3 linked regions of the Ovis aries genome follow. The protein of the gene in region 3 purifies or fractionates together with the protein of the main gene of each other region. This does not show direct contact. Links are inferred from orthologs where the notes say so. Each region holds a gene or a part of one and is shown on either strand. Other genes may lie near its edges.

Evidence for each region.
Region 1: the proteins of DDX20 (region 3) and SNRNP70 purify together in Homo sapiens (affinity purification with mass spectrometry; 4 studies listed by BioGRID and IntAct, counting the BioPlex papers as one, with this or other methods). This does not show direct contact. The link is inferred for Ovis aries from reciprocal best matches to the Homo sapiens genes DDX20 and SNRNP70.
Region 2: the proteins of DDX20 (region 3) and GEMIN5 purify together in Homo sapiens (affinity purification with western blotting; 6 studies listed by BioGRID and IntAct, counting the BioPlex papers as one, with this or other methods). This does not show direct contact. The link is inferred for Ovis aries from reciprocal best matches to the Homo sapiens genes DDX20 and GEMIN5.

The regions. Positions count from the first base shown.
Region 1 is NC_056067.1:55,351,407-55,355,054, reverse strand, and holds part of SNRNP70 (U1 small nuclear ribonucleoprotein 70 kDa), read right to left. Parts: intron 3,345-3,648; coding exon 3,280-3,344; intron 3,161-3,279; coding exon 3,098-3,160; intron 2,453-3,097; coding exon 2,371-2,452; intron 1-2,370. UniProt on the Homo sapiens protein: Component of the spliceosomal U1 snRNP, which is essential for recognition of the pre-mRNA 5' splice-site and the subsequent assembly of the spliceosome. SNRNP70 binds to the loop I region of U1-snRNA.
Region 2 is NC_056058.1:63,875,236-63,878,883, forward strand, and holds part of GEMIN5 (gem-associated protein 5), read right to left. Parts: intron 3,432-3,648; coding exon 3,266-3,431; intron 2,400-3,265; coding exon 2,187-2,399; intron 1,423-2,186; coding exon 1,337-1,422; intron 1-1,336. UniProt on the Homo sapiens protein: The SMN complex catalyzes the assembly of small nuclear ribonucleoproteins (snRNPs), the building blocks of the spliceosome, and thereby plays an important role in the splicing of cellular pre-mRNAs.
Region 3 is NC_056054.1:89,176,750-89,180,497, forward strand, and holds the start of DDX20 (probable ATP-dependent RNA helicase DDX20), read left to right. Parts: upstream 1-1,464; 5' UTR 1,465-1,486; coding exon 1,487-1,787; intron 1,788-2,432; coding exon 2,433-2,527; intron 2,528-3,186; coding exon 3,187-3,355; intron 3,356-3,748.

The sequences.
Region 1 (3,648 bases), on a different chromosome or scaffold from region 3:
CAGGAAGGGTGCGGAGTAAGGGGGGAGAGGCGGGGAGGAGCGCGTCCTGCGGGTGGGCAGGACACAGCCAAGGACAGGCCCAAGCCCGGGGCTGCCTCACACGGGGCTCTCGGGAGGCCAAAAACGTCCCTGTTTCCCAACCCCCAGCCCTGGCGGAGGGGGTCATCCTCAACCAGCCACAACACCCGGCCCCGCCCCAGCCCGCTCCCCCCCCAAATAACAACCAGAGGAAGAGAAAAAGGTGCCATTTACCGATGCCAGCCTTGCGGGTGTCCAAACCGAGCGGGATGGGGGGGGCTCGGCAACTCCTGGGGGCCTGGCGAGGAGGCGGGCTTCCCGGGGGGGGACACGGGACCGCTTACCTGGAGCCCCCAAGCTTACCTGAGCACGCGCACAGACCCCACACCCACCACCATGGGGTCAGCTAAAGCTACGGGGGAGGGAGCCAGGGGGTTCTAGGGAGCCCCCGGAGGGGCGAGGAACCACATCTCCTGTACCGCCTGGAGGCAGGCAGAGGAAGTGGTGGACCCCAAAGAAACCTCATGGAGGCCTTGAAGAGGAGGGAGACAGGGTTAACATAGAGCTTGGGAACTTGAAAGGACTATCTTGTTTGAATTCTACAAAGCGGCTAGGGAGGCCTTAGCAAACCTGTCCACCTTCAGCTTTTCCCCATAAAATCCACGCTCAGCTAGGCACAGGCCCCACCCCCTCAGCACATGGAATGACTTTTCCACCTTGAACTTCTCACTCCCTCCCACCATCTGCTTCAGCCCAAAGGCTGGCACACAAGGGGACAGCTTCGGGGGTCCAGGAGATGGGAGTACTGCCCATGATCCACGGGGAAGGGGCCGCTGGGCCCCTGAACCCAGAGGAGCGTAGTGGGGGCGGGATTTCAGGACTGGGGACACAGTCAAGCAAAGGACCCCTGCTCTGGTCATGTCCCAAACCCCAGAAGAGGCCCAACCCGGGAAGAACAGCAGAGAAAAATGTGACGTGTGTATCTCTAGGCTTCGCTCGCTCTCCCTCTCTTAGGTCTCCAGCCAGTGGAAGGGTTTTCAGTAAAAGCTCCAGCACCTTCAGCTGTTCACAGCCTGTCGCTCGACCCCTCCCACAGCAATCCCCAAGTCCATGCACTCTGGAGAGCAGCTGGGCTCCACAGCCTCTCGGGAGGCTCCACTGTGACAAGGCAGACAAGACATGAGCAGAGCACCCCGAGTCTAGCAACCAAAAAGACTCTCCAGGGCCACCACAGTGAGGGCCCGCAGAAGGGGCAGGGGCAGGGGCCAGGAGAGGAGGAAGGGCTGAAGGGTTCCACCAGGAGCCCTGGCCCTGCTGCGTTCCCACCGCCGTGCCGTGGCCGTTGGGAAGCCAGATATGCTGGGGGTTAAACCGAGGCCAACTGGAGTGGCCGGCTGCCTTTCCCATCGGGGAGCATCTCTCCCCTCCTGGGATCAGCAAGATTGTCAGAGAGCACCTGGATGGGGCCAGAAGGGACAGAGGGCACCCAAACAAGGAAAGGGCTCTGGGTGCGGGGAGGCGGAGGGGTGGCTGGGGGTGGGAGGAGGGAGGCCTCGCTGCTCCTGAGCTGCCTGGCTAAGCTGGGCTGGTGTGCGGTGCTGAGTGATCTTACCCATGATACAAACCCTTATACCAACCATACACTGAGGTGTTGTAAGGGGAGCGTAAGCATCAGCTGCAAGCCAGCTGCGTGGTGGCTGCAGTGACAATAAGAACAGTCAATTAATACGGCGGCCCCTGGACACGCCGCAGCCCTGCCCACCCCCGCCCGCCCAGCCCTGCCCATGTGGACGCCGCCGCGGCCTCAACGGGGGCTTTGGAGGTGTGGGGGCAGGCGCTGAACACGCAGACCAGCCCACTGCCCGCCGAGGAACAGGGTGAGGGCCAGGGGTGGGGAGGTGGAGGGTCGGGTGGCCCAGCCCCAGCTCAGCTGGGGGGAGGAGAGGGCAGGTTCAAAGGCCAGTCCTCACTGCAACCTGGCCGCCCCCAAATCTGCTGGGGGAAATGGGGAGAGGCTCCCCGAAAATCCGACCCCTCCCCCCACCTCCAACTAGCCCTAGCCCCCACCGGGTTCCCTCCTTGCCCCTGAGGTTCAACGTGTGACACTTACCTCCCCAGGTTCACACACACACACACACACACGTTGTGGGGGGTTTTGGTTTTTGTTTTTTAAAAAACACGTATATAAAAAACAAAAAAAAAAAGATATATCAGAAACAGAGGGAGGAGGAGAAGAGACATCGCTAATGTCAGGTCTGGCGGGGAGGGGGGGTAGGGGACAGACGACGGGAAGGGGCTGGGGCAGTAGAGAAGAGAGAGGGCCAGAGGGCAGGGTGCGGGGCGGCCACTCACAGTGCATGTCCCGCTCGTGTTCGTACTCGATGAAGGCATAGCCCCGGGGCTTTCCCGACCGCTTACTGTAGACCATGTGTATCTGGAGGGTGGGTGGCAGGAGGCAGAGGTCAATTCTGACAAGGGGACAACTCACCCTATCAATCACACAGCTCTGGGCTGGATGATGCCAGCAACAGATGCTTCTGACCCTCCCCCGGCCCCTTCAAGGACCCAGAGTGACTGATGCTCTAACGGCCTTGGGCTTAGCAAATGATGTGCACAATGACCTCAAGCCCTTGCTAGAGCCCAGAGCATCTGAGGAACTTCTAAACCAAATGAAGAAATGTCCGTTATACATGAAGCCGTGCTCTAGAACAAGAGTCAACATACACTTTCTACACAGAGCCAGAGAGCAGGCATTTCCAGCTTGCAGGGAGGGCCACCCAGTCCCTGTCGCACCTGCCTAACTGCCCTGCAGCAACAGCAGCTGCAGACAGTGAAGTGGGCCTGGCTAGATTACCAACGAACTTCACTCACTAAGTCTGCAGTTTGCTGACTTGTGCTCTAAATCAGCAGCAAGTAATCATGACCTCTTTGCCTTCCCTCCGCTATCCCGAGACTCCAGCATGGATGTGCGGGCAGGACAGAAACCCAGGCCGTGGCGTCTGAAGCCCGAAATGGCGCGGTGCCTCCTCCCTCCCTCCGCACACCTTCAACTCAAGCACCCCTGCTCTGGTCCACTCACCCTTTTGATGGGTCCATACACCTCAAACTCTCTCCGGAGCTTGGACTCTGTCGTGTCATAGTTCTACAGGGAGACAGAAAGAAAGTGAGAGAAGCCCTCAAACACCCCATGGACCGAGTCTACTGTCCACAGCCACGCTCTCCATAGCCTAGGGCGCCAGGGGTTGGGAGCTGGGGACTCACCACTCTAGCCACAAAGAGAGTCTTGAAGGCATCACCCTGAGCATTGGGATCATTGTGAGGGTCCCCTGTGCAGGATAAAAAAAATTCTGTAAGTAGTCATCAACAACACCACAGAGCAAGAAAGAGACTGATGGACACAGGCCCAGAGCTTCCGGTCGGCTACCATGGGCAGGCCCCTCTGAGCCCCGACTGCCCTGAAGCACAGCAGACCTCATCTGAGCGGCTGATTTAGGCTGATTAAAGGAAGGGATGAGACTGACTTCAAGCTGACAGGATGGCGGCCAGCCTACTGCCCCCCTTTTTCAGGTCTACATATCCTGAGTCCCAAGTCCCTCCTAGGTGGGAGTAGCTAAGCCCAAAAGGGCATCT
Region 2 (3,648 bases), on a different chromosome or scaffold from region 3:
CTAATTTATTTAATTTTAATTACTTTAAGCATAAGTAGCCACATGTGGCCAGTGGCTACCAAACTGAACAGTGCAGGTTTGGAATCTAATCAAGCACTCAGAATAGCTGTGTCCAATAGATTTATATTGTGAGCCATAAATACAAACCCCATCTGCAACTTAAAGCTTTCTGGTAGCCATGTTAACAGAAGTATCAGAAACAAGTGAAATTCAATTTTAGGAATCAGCTCAGTGTATAAAAAGTATTACCTTTTAAAATATAATTAAAATATATATTGAGGCATCTTACATTCTTTTCTTTTTTGAACTCTCAAGTGTATTCTACACTTAGCACACTTCAGTAGCCACCTGTGACTAAAGACACAGTGCTGTTCCAGAAAGTTTATAGGCAATACAGGGAAGACAAGGAATATAGGAAATACAGGAAAGAGTGAACTGAATTACAAGTCACCACAAAGAATTAACTAGACAAGTCCAAAATGTAGAATATGCTAGAAACGACTTATCTGGAATCTTCAATTTGAAAAGGCAGTGTTACGGAAAGAAGTGGGGGACTATTCTACAAGAAGAGGCTAAAGAGGCATTAAAAAACACAATGTGTGACCCCTGATTAAAAAAAGGTTTGAAAAAAATTGCTAGAAAAACATTTTTGGCTCAACTGAGGAAATTTGTATATGCACAGGATATTACATCATGTTATGGATTACTGCTAATTTTTGTTAAGTGTACCAAAAGTATGGCAAAATGTTAACAACTGGTAATTCAAAATGGAAGAAACAGAGATGTTCTTTATTCTAAGCTTTTAACATTCTTGAAAGTGAAAGTGTTAGCCGCTCAGTCATGTCTGACTCTTTGTGACCTCATGGACTGTAGCCCGCCAGGCTCCTCTGTCCATGGAATTCTACACTCAACAATACTGGAGTGGTAGCCATTTCCTTCTCCAGGGCATCTTCCCAACCAGGGATCAAACCTGGGTCTCCTGCATTGCAAGCAGATTCTTTACCATCTGAGCCACCAGGGAAGCCCCTATGTATAACTTAACATTCTTGGATGCCTGAAAACTTTTGTAAAAAAATGTTGAGGGAAAACAAAAGCAAATGTTTTCCTGAAAAAAAAAAACTTCAGTGGTGTTCACAGGTCAGATGGGCTGAACCATCACAATAACCTGAAAAAATGTTTTAAAAATAAAATTCTGAATTCTAAGCCCCAGTCTCAGAGTCAGAATCTTAAAGATGATTCTCAGTCTTACTATGATAAACATCTGGGTCTATGAACTCAAAATGAACTCACTTAACATTTTGGTCAATGGGCTAAATAAAGATCATCTATTTCTTACTTGTTGGAGTAGGTGTCGTACAATCCCACTTTTCCATCGTCAGTTCCAAAAGCTAAGCAGCCTTCCTTGGTCGGGTGCCAGCACAGCTACAAGGAAATACGAAGGGGCACTGTTAAGGGATTCATTAAGTTATACTTCAGCATTCAGCTGGAAACACTTACTGCTCTTGGTGTCTTCTAATTTTAAAAGTAACAAATTCTCATTATTTAAGAGAAAAATTGTATTAAAAATAAAGTCACTTGTAATTTCACCATCCAAACCACCCCACTACCAGTTCTGTATCTTTCTAGAAATTTTTTGTGAGTAAACTTTATATATAATTGAAAAACAAAAATAGGATCAAATGTTTAAATGATGTTCGTGATACATTGTTGGATGGGGAGTAAAAGATTCCAGAACAATTTAGAAAATATGATTCTATTATTCTTTGGATTATGGAAGCAGGAGAATAGAGTCAAGGGTGGAAAAGAGAACATTTTTGCTTTCTACACTTCTGTACTGTGGGTTTTTTTAAAATCACAAACATTATTATTCCTCATGTGGTTATATTATAATTTAATGTACCTCCTATGAATGCACGCACATCCAGGTTATTTTAAATTTCTTACTATCAGAAAATAGGGTGACTTGAATAAAAATGTAATTTCACAAAACAAAGCTAAATTTCTGAATTAGGAGGTAATGCGTTTGGTTAGGGAGGGTGCCTGTGCTTTCCCAGTTTCAAATTGCATCAAAAATACTCCTGAAATGTAAATTCCCTATAGAGTTCATTTGTGTGAATAGGTATTCTCTAAGAGAGAATTAGTTATTTGAAACCAGTGTATGGCAAGTTCAAAGAACGCATCCTTACCGCTGTAACCTTGGACTTGACACCTTGCCAAAAATTTTTCACATCATAGTTGTTCTTTATGGAGAGTGTATTCCATACGCGGATCATGCCATCCCCAACGCCTATCGCTAAGCAGCCTGTGTCCACAGGAGAGAAAGCCAGACTGTAGGCAAACCCACCGAGGGAAGGCAGGGTCCAGCAGCACTCCAGAGTGGCCATGTCCCAACATTTTACCTGAAAAGGTTAAGGGTTAGGGTCTTTATGAAGATCGGAGAAACGGGAAAAACAATCAATGTTTCAGACAGAATGGGCTCAATGAGCGCAGCAGGAGAATGTAACTTACCTATTCCAGAAGGAATTAGAAAAAAAAAAAGGCAGTAAACTGTAGAGCTCAAAGGGATCTTGGAATACATTTATCCCCTAAGATGCCAAGTGAATTGAAGGCACACAATACACTAGAACTCAGGCTTCCTATTTCCCAGAGTCCACTGGCCTTTCCACAATATTACAGCATTGATAATCTCATTTGGTAAACTCAAAAAAAAAGTAAAGAAAAAAGATGACGGTCTTAGGACAGTGGAAGAATCAGAGTTTATCTCAAAAAGCAAAATATGTTATCATTTCCGTTGGACGAGGAGTGCTAAGTTTTTAATCTTCACTTGTTTATTAACACAGTGACTTGGGAGAAAACAAAGTCTATCAAACAAGCTTTGATTACTGAAAAACAGTAAGGTTACTCAGATAAAGCCAATTCTCTCTTACAGAGACTCTGCCAAGAGCAGATGATTCTGCTACCTAAACTATATAGACAAGGATATTTTAAGGCTAAACCATGATGACCTCTCACATCCTTTCATGCTCACATCTCTTCCTTATCGTATCTGCTTTAACAAAAAGACATCTTGGTTGTTCCTCCCCTTCCCTTTACTTCCCTCTACTGCTAATGTATTTAATGCCAATCAGAAACAGTAACTTTGAAATTGGAACCTGGGGGTGAGGTGAGGTGTGAGAACTGATGATAGTCTGAAAAAGTCCTCTAATCCTATCCAAGTCATAAATCACCAATATACAGTACTGAATGCAGAATAAGCTGTTCTTACATCTCTGTCCATTGATATGGAAAGCAGCAGCTGTTTGTCTTCTTCAGTTTGCAGAGGACATAAATTAAACACAATCCTTGAATGATTTTGCCCTTCTGATGAACCACTAAAGAGGGTATATTTCCGTCTCCAAGACTGAGTGAGATCCCATAGCAGCAGTTCACCTCTGTGAAGGAAAAACAAGTAGCAGTTCTCTTTCATGAGCAATCTGAAAACAAGTGGTTTTGGGCCAGAGTGCGGGCCCTCAGCTGCAAAATACTTTCTGTTCATTGTTCCTTTAAGGAGAGACAAATTACATATTCTAAAACAGACGCAAAAACAAAAGAAATTATTGCCTATGGCGAGGAGAACCAAGCAGATCAGACAGAGGTGGAGAGGGAGCT
Region 3 (3,748 bases):
TCATTCTGAGGTTTGGGATTCAAGGATTAGGTGAATGAAAGAGGTAGGGTACTAGGAGGAAGTCTGAAACCTTTACTGCTCACTCCCAACAGGCCCCCTTCTTTCACAGGAACAGTTGATAATTAGCGTTTTATAAATTTCTAAGAAAAATGCATCTGAGGACCCCTTCCCAATGAGATTACCAAGCCAAACTCCTCCTACCTCTTTTGGAATCTGAATCATCATTGTGCGTGTGTGAGAGGGAAAGAGAGACAGAGAGAGAGAGAGGGGAAGTGTAAACTGGTGAGAGAGAATGACCAGAATTATGATATCAGGATAAAGGCAAAAGTTGGGGTTAGATGCAGAATTATCTTTAGATTTGGAATTGTAAGATTAGGTTCCAGAAACATTAACATTGGGAGTTATGATTCAGACTTTGTTATAGGAACTCATTTGTTCAATAAATATTGAGCACTTACTCTGGGTCAGATTGCTTTTTTCCAACAAGGGATATTGAAGAGAACAAGAGAGAATAGATCTCTGTCATAGAGTGGGGAGGACAGACAATAAACACGATTTCAGCTAGTGATAAGTACCATGAAAAAAAATAAACCAGACCATGGGAATAGAGTGATGAGAAAAGCTGGGGAGCTGCCAGGATGAGGGAGCTATCTCGGGGTGTTCAGGAAAGTCTTCTTTGAAAAGGTAATGTTTGAGCTGAGACCTAAAGTTGTTCTTGAGATGGTGGTGGGGAGGGATAGGAGCAACACACAGAAAATGTTAAATTTGACGTTAGACATCGAAGTGGAGGTGTTGAGACAGGAGATGGAGGTACAAGTGTGGAGCTCAGAGGTCGGAGGTGGAGATACGAATGTGGGAGCTGTCAGTGCAGTTGCTGGTTCTTATCCGATTTCTTTTATCAGGGCTAACCGTGTGCCAGGCACGGTGCTAGGGGTTGGGGACACAAAGAGGAAACCACACAGACATATATACTATGCAACGTGCTCAACCGTCTCGCTGTATTCCGGGCGCTCTCTGAGAGCGCAGAACAAGGCAGCGAGTTGGGGCGAGACAGGGTGGGGACAGGGAGGGGGCCACCGCGGAGTCCTGGCCCGGAGGCGAGGAGCTTGACGCACAGAACGCGTCACAAAGACAGCGTTGTGAGGCAGCCAACTCTGGGCGCTGGGCGGGGCGGACCCGCCCACAGAGGGCCTTGGGGCGGGGCGGTGCTCCCGTCGCTAGCGCGCGGCGCCCTCTACAGGTCGCAGGCGGCGATACGCCGGTAGCCTTTGCTTTCCTCTCCTCCCTTTTCCCGCCAGCCTCTGGTCACATTTTTGTTGTTGTTGTAGCTGTTTCCGAGTGTTTCTAAGCCTTCAACTTCCCCTCCTTTTCGAGGCCTGGCGTGTCAGTGTCTTCGCGGGAAGACTGCCAATAAAGTTTTTCCTCTTCTCGCTCTCAGGCTCCCAGCCTCGCCCCAAGTACCGCGAGATCCGGCGGCGCGGCTACCATGGCGGCTGCGTTTGAAGCTCCGGCCGCCTTAGCGACCGTGGAGACCGCTATGCCGGCGGAGCGTGTGGCCACGCAGTTCTCGTCCCCGGAGCCAGCCTCCCGGCCGGTGCGGAGCCTGCGGACGGCTCACGACATCAGCGGCCCGCGGACCCGCACTGGGGACGTGCTGCTGGCGGAGCCGGCAGACTTCGAGTCGCTGCTGCTGTCGCGCCCGGTGCTGGAGGGCCTGCGGGCGGTTGGCTTCGAGCGGCCGTCGCCCGTGCAGCTGAAGGCCATCCCGCTGGGGCGATGTGGACTCGGTGAGGGAGGGGACACTGAGGGGCCAGGAGGGCCGAAAGTGGGGGACGCGGGGGCTGGGGGTGTCGAGCCATGGCGAGGGCCGGAAAGGGCCCAGGGCGGCTGCCTGCAGGGGCACGACACCGCATTCCGCGAGCCTCTATTTCCTACACTGTCAAACCGAGGCGCAGTACTGAATTTGGAGATACTTAAGGTCCATTCCACTCTGACAAGTAGGTCTATGTTTGAGAAAAGTAAACAGTAGTAAGGATCTCGGATGAGATCATCCTGGATTAGGGTAGGCCCTAAATCCAGTGATTAAAGCCAGAGATTGGAGTTACACAGCTTCGCGCCAAAAAATGTCTGAGCCATCAGAAGCTGGAAGAGACAGGGAAGAATTGTATTGATAACCATAGAGCCTTTGGAGGGAATGTGACCCTACTGATACTTTGATTTCATACTTCAAACTTCTGGTTCTTAAGCATAAAGAAGAAAAGAAACGGTAGGGGTTCAGGGAGGAGGCCTGTTTCTGGACATGGCTTCATGCTTTTTTAAGAGTTAAGGGTAAAAACCAAAGTGCCAACGATGTGATCTCTCTGGAGACCCTTCTAGTTCTGGGATTGGTACCTAAGTTTCTTCAGTCCTAGCTAACTTTTTTTTCTTCTCAGATTTAATTGTTCAGGCTAAGTCTGGAACTGGGAAAACCTGTGTCTTCTCCACCATTGCTTTGGACTCTCTTGTTCTTGAGAACCTAAGTACCCAGGTGAGTTTAGCTCAGATGACCCAAAGGAAGGTGTGTTATGTGCATTTTACTACACGTCAGATGAAATACCAGTGGCTCCTCAGAGATAGAAGTGAATATACTTGTCATATGCCTCAGTGATCCCCTTGAGGCATATGACAAGTATACGGGGAAAGTAGACACTGAGGCTATTGAGTGGTGGTGGTATGGATGGGATAGTGACCAAATAGAAGTTTAGAGATTTCTGTTATTACTACATGTTAAATTAAACAAGTCTGCCATGTGTGTCAGTTTTGTCATTTCTTGAGAATACAGATAGGGATTTTTTAATGCTTTTATTTGCTCACCAGATTATGGTGAGAGTTAGCATTTTGCCTGATTTGTGGTAATGAGGTGCTTGGCTGTTGTTGGTAACTAGGTGGTTCTTACAGTGAATGTATTATACTGATCTCCCATTTTCTAGATTCCCTCAGAGTATGTCTAAGATGGCTTTACCCAAATTAACAGGAGATTTGGGTTTGGGGATTTCTTCGACAAAGATTTGTTAAAGATAACATGATTTGCCCATGTTATCTATAAACAATTATGCCAGGCATTGGGGCTATCTTTTTGAGTCCTACCTTCTGTATTTATTCTGCTGACTTGTTAAAGTTATATTTTATGTTTTGTTTTGTTTTTAGATTTTGATCTTGGCTCCTACAAGAGAAATTGCTGTACAGATACATTCTGTTATCACAGCTATTGGAATAAAAATGGAAGGGTTAGAGTGTCATGTGTTTATTGGAGGGACTCCATTATCACAAGACAAAACCAGACTTAAAAAGTGTCATATTGCTGTTGGTTCTCCTGGTAAGATATCAGTACCTTTTAATTACTGGGCTTTTAAGTAACTGAGCACTTTTATATAACAGTAAGAATATGGCAGTCTTTGATAACTGTGGTAGTTATTTTGAGTATTAAAGATGAAGAACATTAGATTAGTGAGATATAAACACATGACTGGATTACCAACAGAATTTATAAAATCTCCATTCCTAAGGATGTTTAAGAATAAGTATGGGATAGGCTTTTGAAAAGAAGAGTATTGAGATGACTTTCAGGAAGCCCTTCTAAGCCATGGATTGGGATTATTTTTTGCTTCCATATTGTCTTTCAGTAATGAATCACTCAGAATCACAATCTAGCATTCAGTGCCTTACAGCTCTTAACAGGAATAGTGTTTATTTTCCATACATATTGGTG